Linked DNA regions of Arabidopsis thaliana. The protein of the gene in region 1 interacts with the protein of each later gene in a pairwise test. Each region holds a gene or a part of one and is shown in the gene's direction. Other genes may lie near its edges.

What was found.
Region 2: the proteins of AT3G63380 (region 1) and PLC2 interact in a protein complementation assay, tested with the Arabidopsis thaliana proteins (one large-scale study listed by BioGRID).

Annotation. Positions count from the first base shown.
Region 1 is NC_003074.8:23,405,977-23,412,368, reverse strand, and holds AT3G63380 (ATPase E1-E2 type family protein / haloacid dehalogenase-like hydrolase family protein), read left to right. Parts: upstream 1-2,008; 5' UTR 2,009-2,155; coding exon 2,156-5,257; 3' UTR 5,258-5,885; downstream 5,886-6,392. Other genes in the region: AT3G63390 (uncharacterized protein), read left to right, coding at 426-953. UniProt on the Arabidopsis thaliana protein: This magnesium-dependent enzyme catalyzes the hydrolysis of ATP coupled with the translocation of calcium from the cytosol out of the cell or into organelles.
Region 2 is NC_003074.8:2,581,825-2,587,599, reverse strand, and holds PLC2 (phospholipase C 2), read left to right. Parts: upstream 1-1,701; 5' UTR 1,702-2,043; coding exon 2,044-2,343; intron 2,344-2,851; coding exon 2,852-3,048; intron 3,049-3,136; coding exon 3,137-3,272; intron 3,273-3,358; coding exon 3,359-3,595; intron 3,596-3,675; coding exon 3,676-3,899; intron 3,900-3,987; coding exon 3,988-4,105; intron 4,106-4,248; coding exon 4,249-4,401; intron 4,402-4,483; coding exon 4,484-4,570; intron 4,571-4,680; coding exon 4,681-4,974; 3' UTR 4,975-5,238; downstream 5,239-5,775. Other genes in the region: AT3G08530 (Clathrin, heavy chain), read left to right, coding at 65-175, 274-429; AT3G08520 (Ribosomal protein L41 family), read right to left, coding at 1,394-1,459, 1,557-1,568; AT3G08505 (zinc finger (CCCH-type/C3HC4-type RING finger) family protein), read left to right, coding at 5,557-5,567, 5,690-5,775. UniProt on the Arabidopsis thaliana protein: The production of the second messenger molecules diacylglycerol (DAG) and inositol 1,4,5-trisphosphate (IP3) is mediated by activated phosphatidylinositol-specific phospholipase C enzymes.

The DNA of each region.
Region 1 (6,392 bases):
AACATCGAAAAGCAAATGGACACCCAGATCGATTGAAACCAAAGTTATAATAACAGATCGATCAAACTTCTAAAACCCTAAACCCCAAAATAAACATGAAAAAAAGTAGAAGAGAAAGAAGAATGATGAGTCCTCCCTCTGTAATAAGGTCAAAGGAAACAGAAGCAGGAAAGAAGCGATGTCAAGATGCTCGGAGATACCTGCTTACTCTACTTGGCGGATCGAGCCGGAGACGGAGATATGAAACGAGTAGCGGCAGCAATAGTTCTCGAGAGGATATATCAAGTAGAATAATCTAGTCCAGTCGGTTAGTAGTAGTATCGTTATACTAATTATGTTTTGGATCCCCCAAACTTAATTAATTAAATAAATATAGGTGGATGGCCTCAATCAAAAGCCCGATGGGCCTTTGAAGAGAAATTGAAATGATGGAAGATGACGATGATTTCTCGGCGGCTGCGACTACCGTTGTGTTCGACCGTCCGATTCCGCTGCTCCGGGGACCTGTACCCTCCGGTGGTTCTTATGTTCTAGCTTTCCGATCACTGGATTCATGGTCAGCCGCTTTCAAGCGTTGCGAAACCCTAATCAAGGACCAGTGCGAGGAAGGTGCTAAAATTGGGTGCGCCGTCTCCGCCTCCAACAACTGTAAGCCGCCGTGGTGGCGGGGATCTGGTGGTGACATGAGGGAACGAGAGAAGTGCGAAGAGCGGGAATTCGAGGGCTGTGTGGCTGCCGCCAAGGGCAAGTGCGCTGCTTTCGCCAAAGACAAGTGCTCTGGTGCCTTTTTAGATGCGCGAATCGCCAAGGACAAGGAGGTTGAGGGATTGGTGTGGCTAGCTTCAATGCCGGAGGAAAGCAGGTGGAGGGATCTCATGGGGCTTGGTGGTTCACTGCGTCTGCACACCAACAACTGCTGCTGCACAGCCAGGGATCTTCTTCTTAAACCATAGCTCTTAATTTGTTGCATGCTGAGAGCTTTGTTATTACTAGTTACCGTTATGAGTGAGCTTAATTAGTTGTAATCTTCCCTTCTACTTATTCCTGAACCATTGTTTAGTTTCATAAGATGATGGTTAGTCTATTTATTCTCGAGCAAGCCATTGTATTTGTTGGTTGGGATTTTGTTAAGCTTGCTACTGCTTTTGGTGCAAACACTCTTGTTTCTTTCTTATCCACATACAGTAACTCGTGATCTAATGTATGTCACTGAGCATCTCTGTGTATGTATGTATATGATTTGAGGAGTTTCTCGACATTCACTTCATCGCTTGTATCGGAATTTTATGCCAAATCTGGTCTCACCTCACGTCTAGTTTTAGTGGAGGTCAACTTATTTTGTTTGTTTATAAAAATAAAGTCAACTGCTTTTATGTCTTGCTGTCGTCACATGAACAAAGAAAGAGATGACAGCGAAAATGGAAAGTGCTATGAAGTTTCGGTGATCAAACTCATAATGCCTTCGTCGTACACGCTGCTCCATTTTATTATTTCTAAACATAGATTTGTGGAAAAGTAGACGGATTTTGAGTTTGAGTAGTATAAATTTCACTTGATAGATATTATACCAAACCAAGTTGGTGTGGAAGATTCAATCTAAATCCTTTTTTTCTTCTTTCGCTTTACTATATTCGCCATTTCTTTTCATTTGTCCGTGCGGACTAAGCAAGTTGGTACACGCACGCTATTCCTCCTCATTCTACAATGACGGCTTGTCCACACCATTACATCATACGGCTGCTTTAGAAATTACTACCAAAATCTCAGATTAACTCTCTCTTTTAGGGCACAGTGGTTCCAAACCGAAACACGAGACAACAGATAAGTCAAAACACAAGTACAAAAGGATGTGCGGCCCATGTCCTTTGATCGACATGACTTCGTGTTTACAACGTTTCTGAGTGGTTCCACCGCCTGAAAATATTAAACTAGGACAAGTTACTTTACACGAGATATTTAATATTTTAAAGCAGATAAATAGCAATCAAAAGGCGGCCAATACGGATTTAAATAGTACCACGAAGCTTAGGGTATTAGAGAGAGAGAAATCATTCTTTGCGAGTCTTAAGTGTCTTACAAGTAACACCACATTTAGTTGAGAGAGAGCGAGACTCTTTTCCTTCTAAAAACTCTCTTTCTTTCACACAAATAAAGCATGAGGGACCTCAAGGAATATGATTACAGTGCACTTTTGCTCAACCTTACCACCTCCAGCCTCAACAAGGCCCAGAGGCGTTGGCGTTTTGCCTACGCTGCCATCTACTCTATGAGGGCTATGCTCTCTCTTGTTAAGGAGATAGTTCCCGCAAGGATTGATCCCAAAACCTCAGATGCCTCTCTCTCTCTCTCCTACACAGCCCTCGAGTCCGGTGAGGGAGCAAAGATCAACTCTATGCCTCTCTCTTACGTTCCTGCCATTGATCAAGAACAACTTGTGGAGATCATGAAGGGTAAGGACTTACCGGGCATCCAAGCGCTGGGCGGCGTGGAGGGTGTCGCCGCTTCCCTTAGGACTAACCCCACCAAAGGGATCCACGGGAATGAGCAAGAAGTCAGTAGACGCCGTGACCTCTTTGGCTCTAACACCTACCATAAGCCACCGCCTAAAGGACTTCTCTTCTTTGTGTATGAAGCTTTCAAAGACCTAACCATCTTGATCTTGTTGGTCTGCGCTATTTTCTCCCTTGGCTTCGGTATCAAAGAACATGGCATCAAAGAAGGTTGGTATGAAGGCGGAAGCATCTTTGTAGCAGTCTTCTTGGTCATAGTTGTCTCTGCTCTCAGCAACTTTAGGCAGGAGAGACAGTTCGACAAGCTGTCCAAGATAAGCAATAACATCAAAGTGGAAGTCCTTCGGGACAGCAGGCGGCAACATATCTCCATCTTTGACGTTGTTGTTGGTGATGTTGTCTTCTTGAAGATCGGAGATCAGATTCCCGCTGATGGTCTGTTCTTGGAAGGGCATTCACTTCAGGTGGACGAGTCTAGTATGACAGGAGAGAGTGACCATCTTGAAGTGGACCACAAGGATAATCCCTTCTTGTTCTCAGGGACAAAGATAGTCGATGGGTTTGCTCAAATGCTCGTTGTCTCTGTGGGTATGAGTACAACCTGGGGACAGACGATGAGCTCCATAAATCAAGATTCCAGCGAGAGAACACCTTTGCAAGTCCGTCTTGACACGCTGACCTCCACCATCGGAAAAATTGGTCTTACGGTGGCAGCACTTGTTCTGGTAGTTCTATTAGTCCGTTACTTCACTGGGAACACAGAGAAAGAGGGCAAAAGAGAATACAACGGGAGCAAAACACCTGTGGACACTGTGGTCAATTCCGTTGTGCGAATCGTGGCAGCTGCAGTAACCATTGTCGTAGTAGCTATCCCAGAAGGCTTGCCATTGGCTGTGACTCTGACGCTGGCTTACTCCATGAAGAGAATGATGTCTGATCAAGCTATGGTCAGAAAGCTCTCGGCATGCGAGACGATGGGCTCAGCGACAGTGATATGCACAGACAAAACAGGTACTTTAACACTGAACGAGATGAAGGTTACCAAGTTTTGGCTTGGCCAAGAGTCAATCCATGAAGACTCTACCAAAATGATCTCACCAGACGTTCTTGATCTGCTTTACCAAGGCACCGGTCTGAACACAACGGGAAGTGTCTGTGTGTCAGACTCAGGATCAACGCCTGAGTTCTCAGGCAGTCCAACAGAGAAGGCCCTCTTGTCTTGGACTGTGCTAAATCTGGGTATGGATATGGAGTCAGTAAAGCAGAAACATGAAGTTCTCCGCGTTGAAACTTTCAGTTCAGCAAAGAAAAGAAGCGGAGTTTTGGTCCGAAGAAAATCTGACAATACAGTCCATGTACACTGGAAAGGAGCCGCTGAAATGGTCCTAGCTATGTGTTCTCACTACTACACAAGCACTGGGTCTGTTGACTTAATGGACTCCACCGCAAAGAGCAGAATTCAGGCAATAATCCAAGGTATGGCGGCCAGTAGCCTCAGATGCATAGCATTCGCTCATAAAATAGCGTCAAATGACTCGGTATTAGAGGAAGATGGCTTGACCTTGATGGGAATAGTGGGTCTGAAAGATCCTTGTCGACCTGGTGTCTCAAAAGCTGTGGAAACTTGCAAACTTGCAGGAGTCACCATTAAGATGATAACGGGAGATAATGTTTTCACTGCAAAAGCTATCGCTTTTGAATGCGGAATCCTCGACCACAATGACAAAGATGAAGAAGATGCTGTTGTAGAAGGTGTTCAATTCAGAAATTATACGGACGAAGAGAGAATGCAGAAAGTTGATAAGATCCGGGTCATGGCAAGGTCCTCTCCCTCCGACAAGCTTCTAATGGTCAAGTGTCTGAGACTTAAAGGCCATGTGGTAGCCGTCACAGGGGATGGCACCAACGATGCACCTGCACTAAAAGAAGCAGATATTGGACTCTCTATGGGAATTCAGGGCACTGAAGTGGCAAAAGAAAGCTCAGACATTGTAATTCTAGATGATAACTTCGCATCCGTTGCCACAGTCTTAAAATGGGGAAGGTGTGTCTACAACAATATCCAGAAATTCATTCAGTTTCAGCTAACAGTGAACGTTGCAGCTCTTGTGATCAATTTTATCGCAGCAATTTCAGCCGGTGAGGTCCCTTTGACAGCAGTTCAACTGCTGTGGGTAAACCTCATCATGGACACATTGGGAGCTCTGGCTCTCGCCACGGAGCGACCCACTAACGAGCTCCTGAAGAGAAAGCCAGTTGGCCGAACAGAGGCCCTGATAACAAATGTCATGTGGAGGAATCTCCTGGTTCAGTCATTATATCAAATAGCCGTACTCTTGATCTTACAATTCAAGGGTATGTCAATATTCAGTGTTCGCAAGGAAGTGAAGGACACGCTCATATTCAACACTTTCGTGCTCTGTCAAGTTTTTAACGAATTCAATGCGAGGGAGATGGAGAAGAAAAATGTGTTCAAAGGCCTTCACAGAAACAGGTTGTTCATTGGAATAATAGCGATAACTATTGTGCTTCAAGTCATTATGGTGGAATTCCTAAAGAAGTTTGCGGATACAGTAAGGCTTAACGGGTGGCAATGGGGAACTTGCATAGCACTTGCATCCCTTTCATGGCCGATCGGCTTTTTCACAAAATTCATACCTGTTTCTGAGACACCATTCCTCAGTTACTTTAAGAATCCAAGATCCTTATTTAAGGGTTCAAGAAGCCCATCTCTCAAGAAACCTTGAGAAGCCTACCATAGCAGATGCAGTTCTCTACGGATGGCTGGATAATTGATGATCAGGAGCACAGAGTGGGACTCGTCTGATAAGATAACTTCCAGCTCCCTTGAACGATCAAAAGGGTCAAATCTGAAACCTTGATGGTTCCCCACCAAGAGATGCTTCTGCTTCTGATCAAAAGAGTCGTGGAACACGAGGTTATGTTCACTGGCTTCAAAGTTCTTTCAAACTGCTGCAACAAGTTGGCTTTTCAGTTCACGTCTATGGAAACATAACACGACACTACTAAATTGGTTCAAAATGTTATGTTGATGGCTTAGGAAAATAAAGGAAAAAGAATTGTGAATTTGAGCTTTGGGGTAGCCATTGGTGAATAGTAAAGTGTAATTTTGGTTTATTTACTTACAGCAGTGTCAAGGGTAAATTACACTGTCTGTACATTTTAAAGCTACGTCGTCTGTACATTTTAAACTAAGTATGTATGCTAGAAGTACACTGTCTTGAAATAAGGGTTATAGTAGTTCGTTTTGGTCAAACTTGTGAAAGGTATACTTTGTCTTGTAATTGAGTGAGAGACACCATTTTGGTATTAAACTGTTTTCCTTTTTATTAAAACGTTTGGCTTTGCACAGTCTAAGTTCTTTGAAACACTAAAACATGATGCACCTATGATAGATCTAGAGCGCAAAAACATGAGAAAAATAAAGTGGAGAGTGTGTCAAAGCAGGGAGAAAACAGAGAGCCTTACACCGGTTTCGTGTAGTCAACTGTGTGCGTTCGGGACTCTTATTTTTCTTTCAATCGGCATGTGGAATGCTTCATCAATGAATGGTCCTAAACCAGGAAGGAGTGAGGCTGTCAGAGCATGACCTAGCTTGGGTTTAAGCAATATGTTTCCACATTCATCTCTTAACCAAAGATAGATCATGCTGGCAGCTTCACTTGTTCCCTTGTGGACTTGTCTTCAAAATACCTGAGCAACAAGTTGTGCAAATCTCACATATTTGACGGATCAATAATTGTAAAAAACGGAAGCTCAAGAAGTGGAGAAATTGCAACAGACGTGAAGGCAATGAAAGAGAATACAGAAAGGAGATGAGAGAAGACAGAGGTGATGCTTTGTGGTTTAAGAGGCGCTATA
Region 2 (5,775 bases), about 21 Mb from region 1:
AGGTTGGAACCATTATTTGAACGCTATGATGAATTCTCTTCTTCCTGTCGTTTTTTCTTTGCAGTTTATCCGAGAGTACTCTGGCAAAGTGGATGAGCTAATAAAGGACAAGCTTGAGGCACAAAAAGAGGTGAAGGCCAAAGAGCAGGAAGAGAAGGATGTCATATCCCAACAGGTACTACTTATGACACAGCTACACTGGATATCATCCGACTCTTTATCTTGACAGATACACTTAAAGGAGTAATATGTTTTTCTTTTGTTTTTAAACAGAACATGTATGCCCAAATGTTGCCACTTGCTTTACCTGCACCACCGATGCCAGGAATGGGAGGTGGTGGTGGGTATGGTCCTCCACCACAAATGGGCGGTATGCCAGGAATGCCTCCCATGCCACCATATGGAATGCCACCGATGGGCGGCTACTAAAGCAGACCAGCTTATGCTTTAATATCCGCATTTGGAAAAGTATCAGTAGCGCATAGAGTCGGCCCAATTTGCTAGGGCGGTGTTCATCTGCTAGCTAGCTTATATGTCTGACCAGAATTTGTCTGGGAATAATGTGGATAATAACCTCCTTTCGTTGTAATATTCTGTTGGGTTTAGGTGAGTAATTTTTTTTTAACTTTTTGTCAAAAGCCATTTTTGAGTATATATACTCAACTCTCTTACTCATATGAGTTTTGTAGTTGTACTTTCCTTCAGCATTTCATTCCATTCGACTTTCGATTTATTAAACCGTTGATCAGTTTCACCTTGTTGTTATTCATATATGAAACAATTAATATCGAGAAGGACTAAATAAATCCTTCATGAGAATTTGGTTGACCTCAGAACAATCATCATCATTCATCAGCATCAGAAAGACATAGATGCAACGTGAATCTCATTTTCATGAAATAATAATGAAATCTTAGGGTAGGTTTATTTCACATGTACACATAAAAACCTAAGTACCAATAGTCATCTGAACATCATGAACTAAAAATTGCATCCCTCCGTAAACACACATTTCTGCTACATTACTAAGAAAACGTTCTGGATAGAAAGATTCAATCAACCCAACATACTTTGTTTTTATTAGTATACTTAGATGACATACAAATTCACTTGGTATTTCTAATATCAAAAGTTCAACCTTCACCAGGATAAAACTCATCCAGCGCAGACACTAACTATAGATAATCAATTAAACCAAAATGATAAGCAGATTGAAGAACTTTAAGGAGAATCAGTAACTCATAAGGATCATTCCATGTAATAAACATAATTCTAATAGAAAACATAGATTCGATTTGGTCCAACAAAACATTCAAATTGAAAATTGCAAAACCAACAAAACTCACATAAGAGTTGGTTCTAAAAAGAAGAAAGACAAAACAAACTCCCGAATCTACTTAGATCGCTGTCTCATCTTTCGTCTCTTCCTCTTCAATCTCCTCATACGCTTCTTCTTCCACTGCAACACACAAACACACAAACCATAAAGATCCTACACACTACTTCAATTTCTCATCACTAAAAAATCCATTAAACAATCAAAACCCATTACTAACCTTGGCTCTCATGCTGATTTCGCAGAAGCTGTCTCCTTCGTTCCTCTGATTATTTGTTTAGCTTTACAGGATGAGGAGCGGCGGAGATGAATAGAAAGATTTTGTAGCTTACGCTCTTATTCCTCCTTTAAACAACAACAAAACCCTAGTAACTAACTTAATGGGCTTTATTATTTCAAAAGCCCAATAAAACCCAAATGGATAAGAATTTGCCAGAGGGGATATTCGCACAGAGAGAGAAAGAAGATCTTTTTCCGACAAGGTTCAAGATCGATTAAACATTACATGGAGGAGATTCACTAGAAAGAAAGGAAAAAAATCTCTTTGTCTTTGCAGATGCGACACGCAAAACGACGATTCTGATCTCGCTTGTCTGATTTCAAAAACAATGAGAAGATAGTTCTGATTATATAACACACAAACCCTACTTCATTCCTTCATCATCGTCTCCAATCATTACCCAAAGATCCGTCTTTTTCTTTACTTCATGTCGAAGCAAACGTACAAAGTGTGTTTCTGCTTTCGCCGGAGGTTTCGTTACACTGCATCGGAGGCACCGCGTGAGATCAAGACCATTTTCGAAAAGTACTCAGAGAATGGAGTTATGACCGTTGATCATCTCCACAGGTTTCTGATCGATGTTCAGAAACAAGATAAAGCCACCAGAGAAGATGCACAGTCAATTATCAATTCTGCATCTTCTCTTCTTCATCGTAATGGTCTCCATCTTGATGCTTTCTTCAAGTACCTCTTTGGTGATAATAACCCTCCTCTTGCTCTCCATAAGGTAATTTTCGTGTTATTTCGATTTTATGAGTTCAGAATCTGAAGTAAACTATGATTGATTGATATAAGAAACTCAGATTTTGGATTGGGATTTTTCGTTTTCCTTGTTTGGTAATTGAGGAAATGGTGTGAGGAAGTGAGATTTTTGGAATAATTTGTTTGAATGTTTCACTGAGTCTAATCAAGAGTTCGAACTTCGAAGCTGCTGTTTGGTAGAAAGTCGTAGGAGCTATGTACTTTTTAGGTGTTGTGGAATAAGTCTGATTCAAGAATTTGAAGCAATAGAATTGTTTTTCTTTTTATGTCTCAAAAAAAAAAAAAAAGTTGAGAAAGTAACATATCTAGGAATGTGACATTTACTCTATTAGGAACTCTGACACAAAAATCCATGATACAAGTAATTAATATTTTTACAATTCCGGCTATACATGTAATTGTGACTCAATTGTGCTAGCTTTTATTTTCAGATTGATTATAGACTTATCTCTAATGAATTTGTGGTGTTTCAGGTGCATCATGACATGGATGCTCCTATATCGCATTATTTCATATTCACTGGTCATAATTCTTATCTGACTGGTAATCAGCTGAGCAGTGACTGTAGTGAGGTACCTATTATTGATGCGTTGAAGAAAGGTGTTAGAGTCATTGAATTGGATATATGGCCCAATTCCAACAAAGACGATATTGATGTTCTTCACGGAATGTATAATTTTGCTTCAAATTTATTTCGAAAAACAAGTCAAGGTTAGGTGCTTGGCGTTTAACTTGTTTACTGAACCATTCTTAAACAGGACTCTCACTACACCTGTGGGGTTGATCAAATGTCTCAAAGCTATCAGAGCACATGCCTTTGATGTATCTGACTATCCTGTTGTTGTAACTCTTGAAGATCATCTTACTCCAGATCTTCAGTCTAAAGTTGCTGAGGTAGCTTTTTATTTTGCATTTCTTTCTTTGCTGCTTTAATAGATGAGTACATTGGTTTTGAGATGTGTTTTCTTGTTGTATGATAGATGGTTACTGAGATATTTGGGGAAATTCTGTTTACTCCTCCTGTGGGAGAATCTTTGAAGGAGTTCCCATCGCCAAACTCTTTAAAAAGACGTATTATCATCTCAACCAAACCCCCAAAAGAGTACAAGGAAGGAAAAGATGTGGAAGTGGTGCAGAAAGGTAAAGACTTGGGGGATGAAGAAGTTTGGGGAAGAGAAGTTCCGAGCTTTATTCAGAGGAACAAAAGTGAAGCTAAGGTGTGTACGAAGACAAATCATTTTCATTCTGTTCTGTTGCTGTTCATGGACAAACATGTTAGTTTTCTTTCTTGTTGCAGGATGACTTAGATGGAAATGATGATGATGACGATGATGATGATGAAGACAAGTCTAAGATTAATGCACCACCCCAGTATAAACATTTGATTGCAATCCATGCTGGGAAACCAAAAGGCGGAATTACTGAGTGTTTAAAGGTAGATCCTGACAAGGTTAGACGCCTTAGCTTAAGCGAAGAACAACTTGAAAAGGCAGCAGAAAAATATGCGAAGCAGATTGTGAGGTATAGTCATATTATGTTTTTATGTTTCTAAGTAATAGTTGCAGTTTGTCAACTCAATATGAATCCTGTTAATCATGGTGTGGCGCAGGTTTACTCAGCACAATTTGCTGAGGATATACCCAAAAGGAACTAGAGTCACATCATCAAATTACAACCCGTTGGTTGGCTGGAGCCACGGTGCTCAAATGGTGGCTTTCAATATGCAGGTATCTCCTTCTGCTATATTACCAACTTCTTTCTACGTAGTAGTAAAACTTCTAGTTATTTTGGAGGAGCTATGTTCCATCATTTTACAGGACATCAACCTTATTCCTCAGCTGATTTGATTGTGATCTTTTTCCATGTACAGGGGTATGGAAGATCATTGTGGCTAATGCAGGGAATGTTTAGAGCCAATGGCGGATGTGGCTACATCAAGAAACCTGACCTTCTGCTGAAAAGTGGTTCGGATAGTGACATATTTGACCCAAAAGCTACTCTACCTGTGAAAACAACACTTAGGGTGAGATATCTGATTCTCTGGTTGGTCTTTCTTTTACCAATTCAAATCCGATCAAACTCAGTGAACTTATTCTTTCCCTTAGGTAACTGTATACATGGGAGAAGGCTGGTACTTTGATTTCCGCCACACACACTTTGACCAATATTCACCGCCTGACTTCTATACAAGGGTCAATTTTTGATTCCCTGCCTTAAACCTCACACAAATGTTTTGAGATAGAACTGTTTCTTGTCTCTTATGCTTGCAATATAACAATTTGAGCTTTTGATGCATATTCAGGTTGGGATAGCTGGAGTTCCAGGGGATACAGTAATGAAGAAGACGAAAACACTGGAGGATAATTGGATACCAGCTTGGGATGAGGTGTTTGAGTTCCCATTAACCGTTCCAGAGCTGGCCCTGCTACGATTAGAAGTGCATGAGTATGACATGTCAGAGAAAGATGATTTTGGAGGACAGACATGCTTACCGGTTTGGGAGCTAAGCGAAGGAATAAGAGCATTTCCTTTACATAGCCGGAAAGGAGAGAAGTACAAATCCGTTAAGCTTCTCGTGAAGGTGGAGTTTGTGTGAGACATGATTAAGAAAGATACAGCATTTAAACTTGTCTGGTAGGTTTGAGTGCCACAGAGTTTGTGAATTTGGAGGATTTGTATGTGTGAGAGAGAATGTATGCTTGATTTGTTGTTTGTAATATTATGTACATAAAAGACGAAAGTGAGAGAGAGAGAGACGGTCTTGTATCGTGTGTTGTTGTATTATTATGTAGTAGTCTCGTGTAACACTTGAATCGTATGATGATTTGTGGTTTTTGTGTAACAAGTGTGTTTTAAAACTTGTTTGATTCCATTCCACCAAGAAGGCTTCAAAGAATTTTCTTATGTATCACATAAAACTGATCGAATTTCCATAAACATAACCAATCACACCCCATAAAACAAAATTGGCCAAAAAGAAAAGAGAAAGGATATTTTAGTAAATGAAAGAGAGAGGTGGTGGTGGAGGTGGAGGAAGCGCGCTCTATCTCAAAAACGTTGGGGTCTGCTTGGTCCTCAACAATTGAAAACCGTACAAATTCAATTTCTTCACATAAAGCTCTCTCTTCCTTCTCCATTCTTCCACCCTTTTTTTTCTTCTCTCCGCACAAATCCCCAAATGTCCGATAGGTATCGTAATCCCCCAACTTCTCGATTCATCAAACTCTTCAATTTTGTGTCTCTTTGATTGGTGATAAAGATTGATTCTTTCGTTTCTGGGGACGATGATTCATTTGATTTCTTTTTTGTAGGATACTGTGCAAGTTCTTTGTCCATGGCTCGTGCTTGAAAGGCGAAAATTGCGAATTTTCCCATGACTCTAAGGATCCGCCCAATA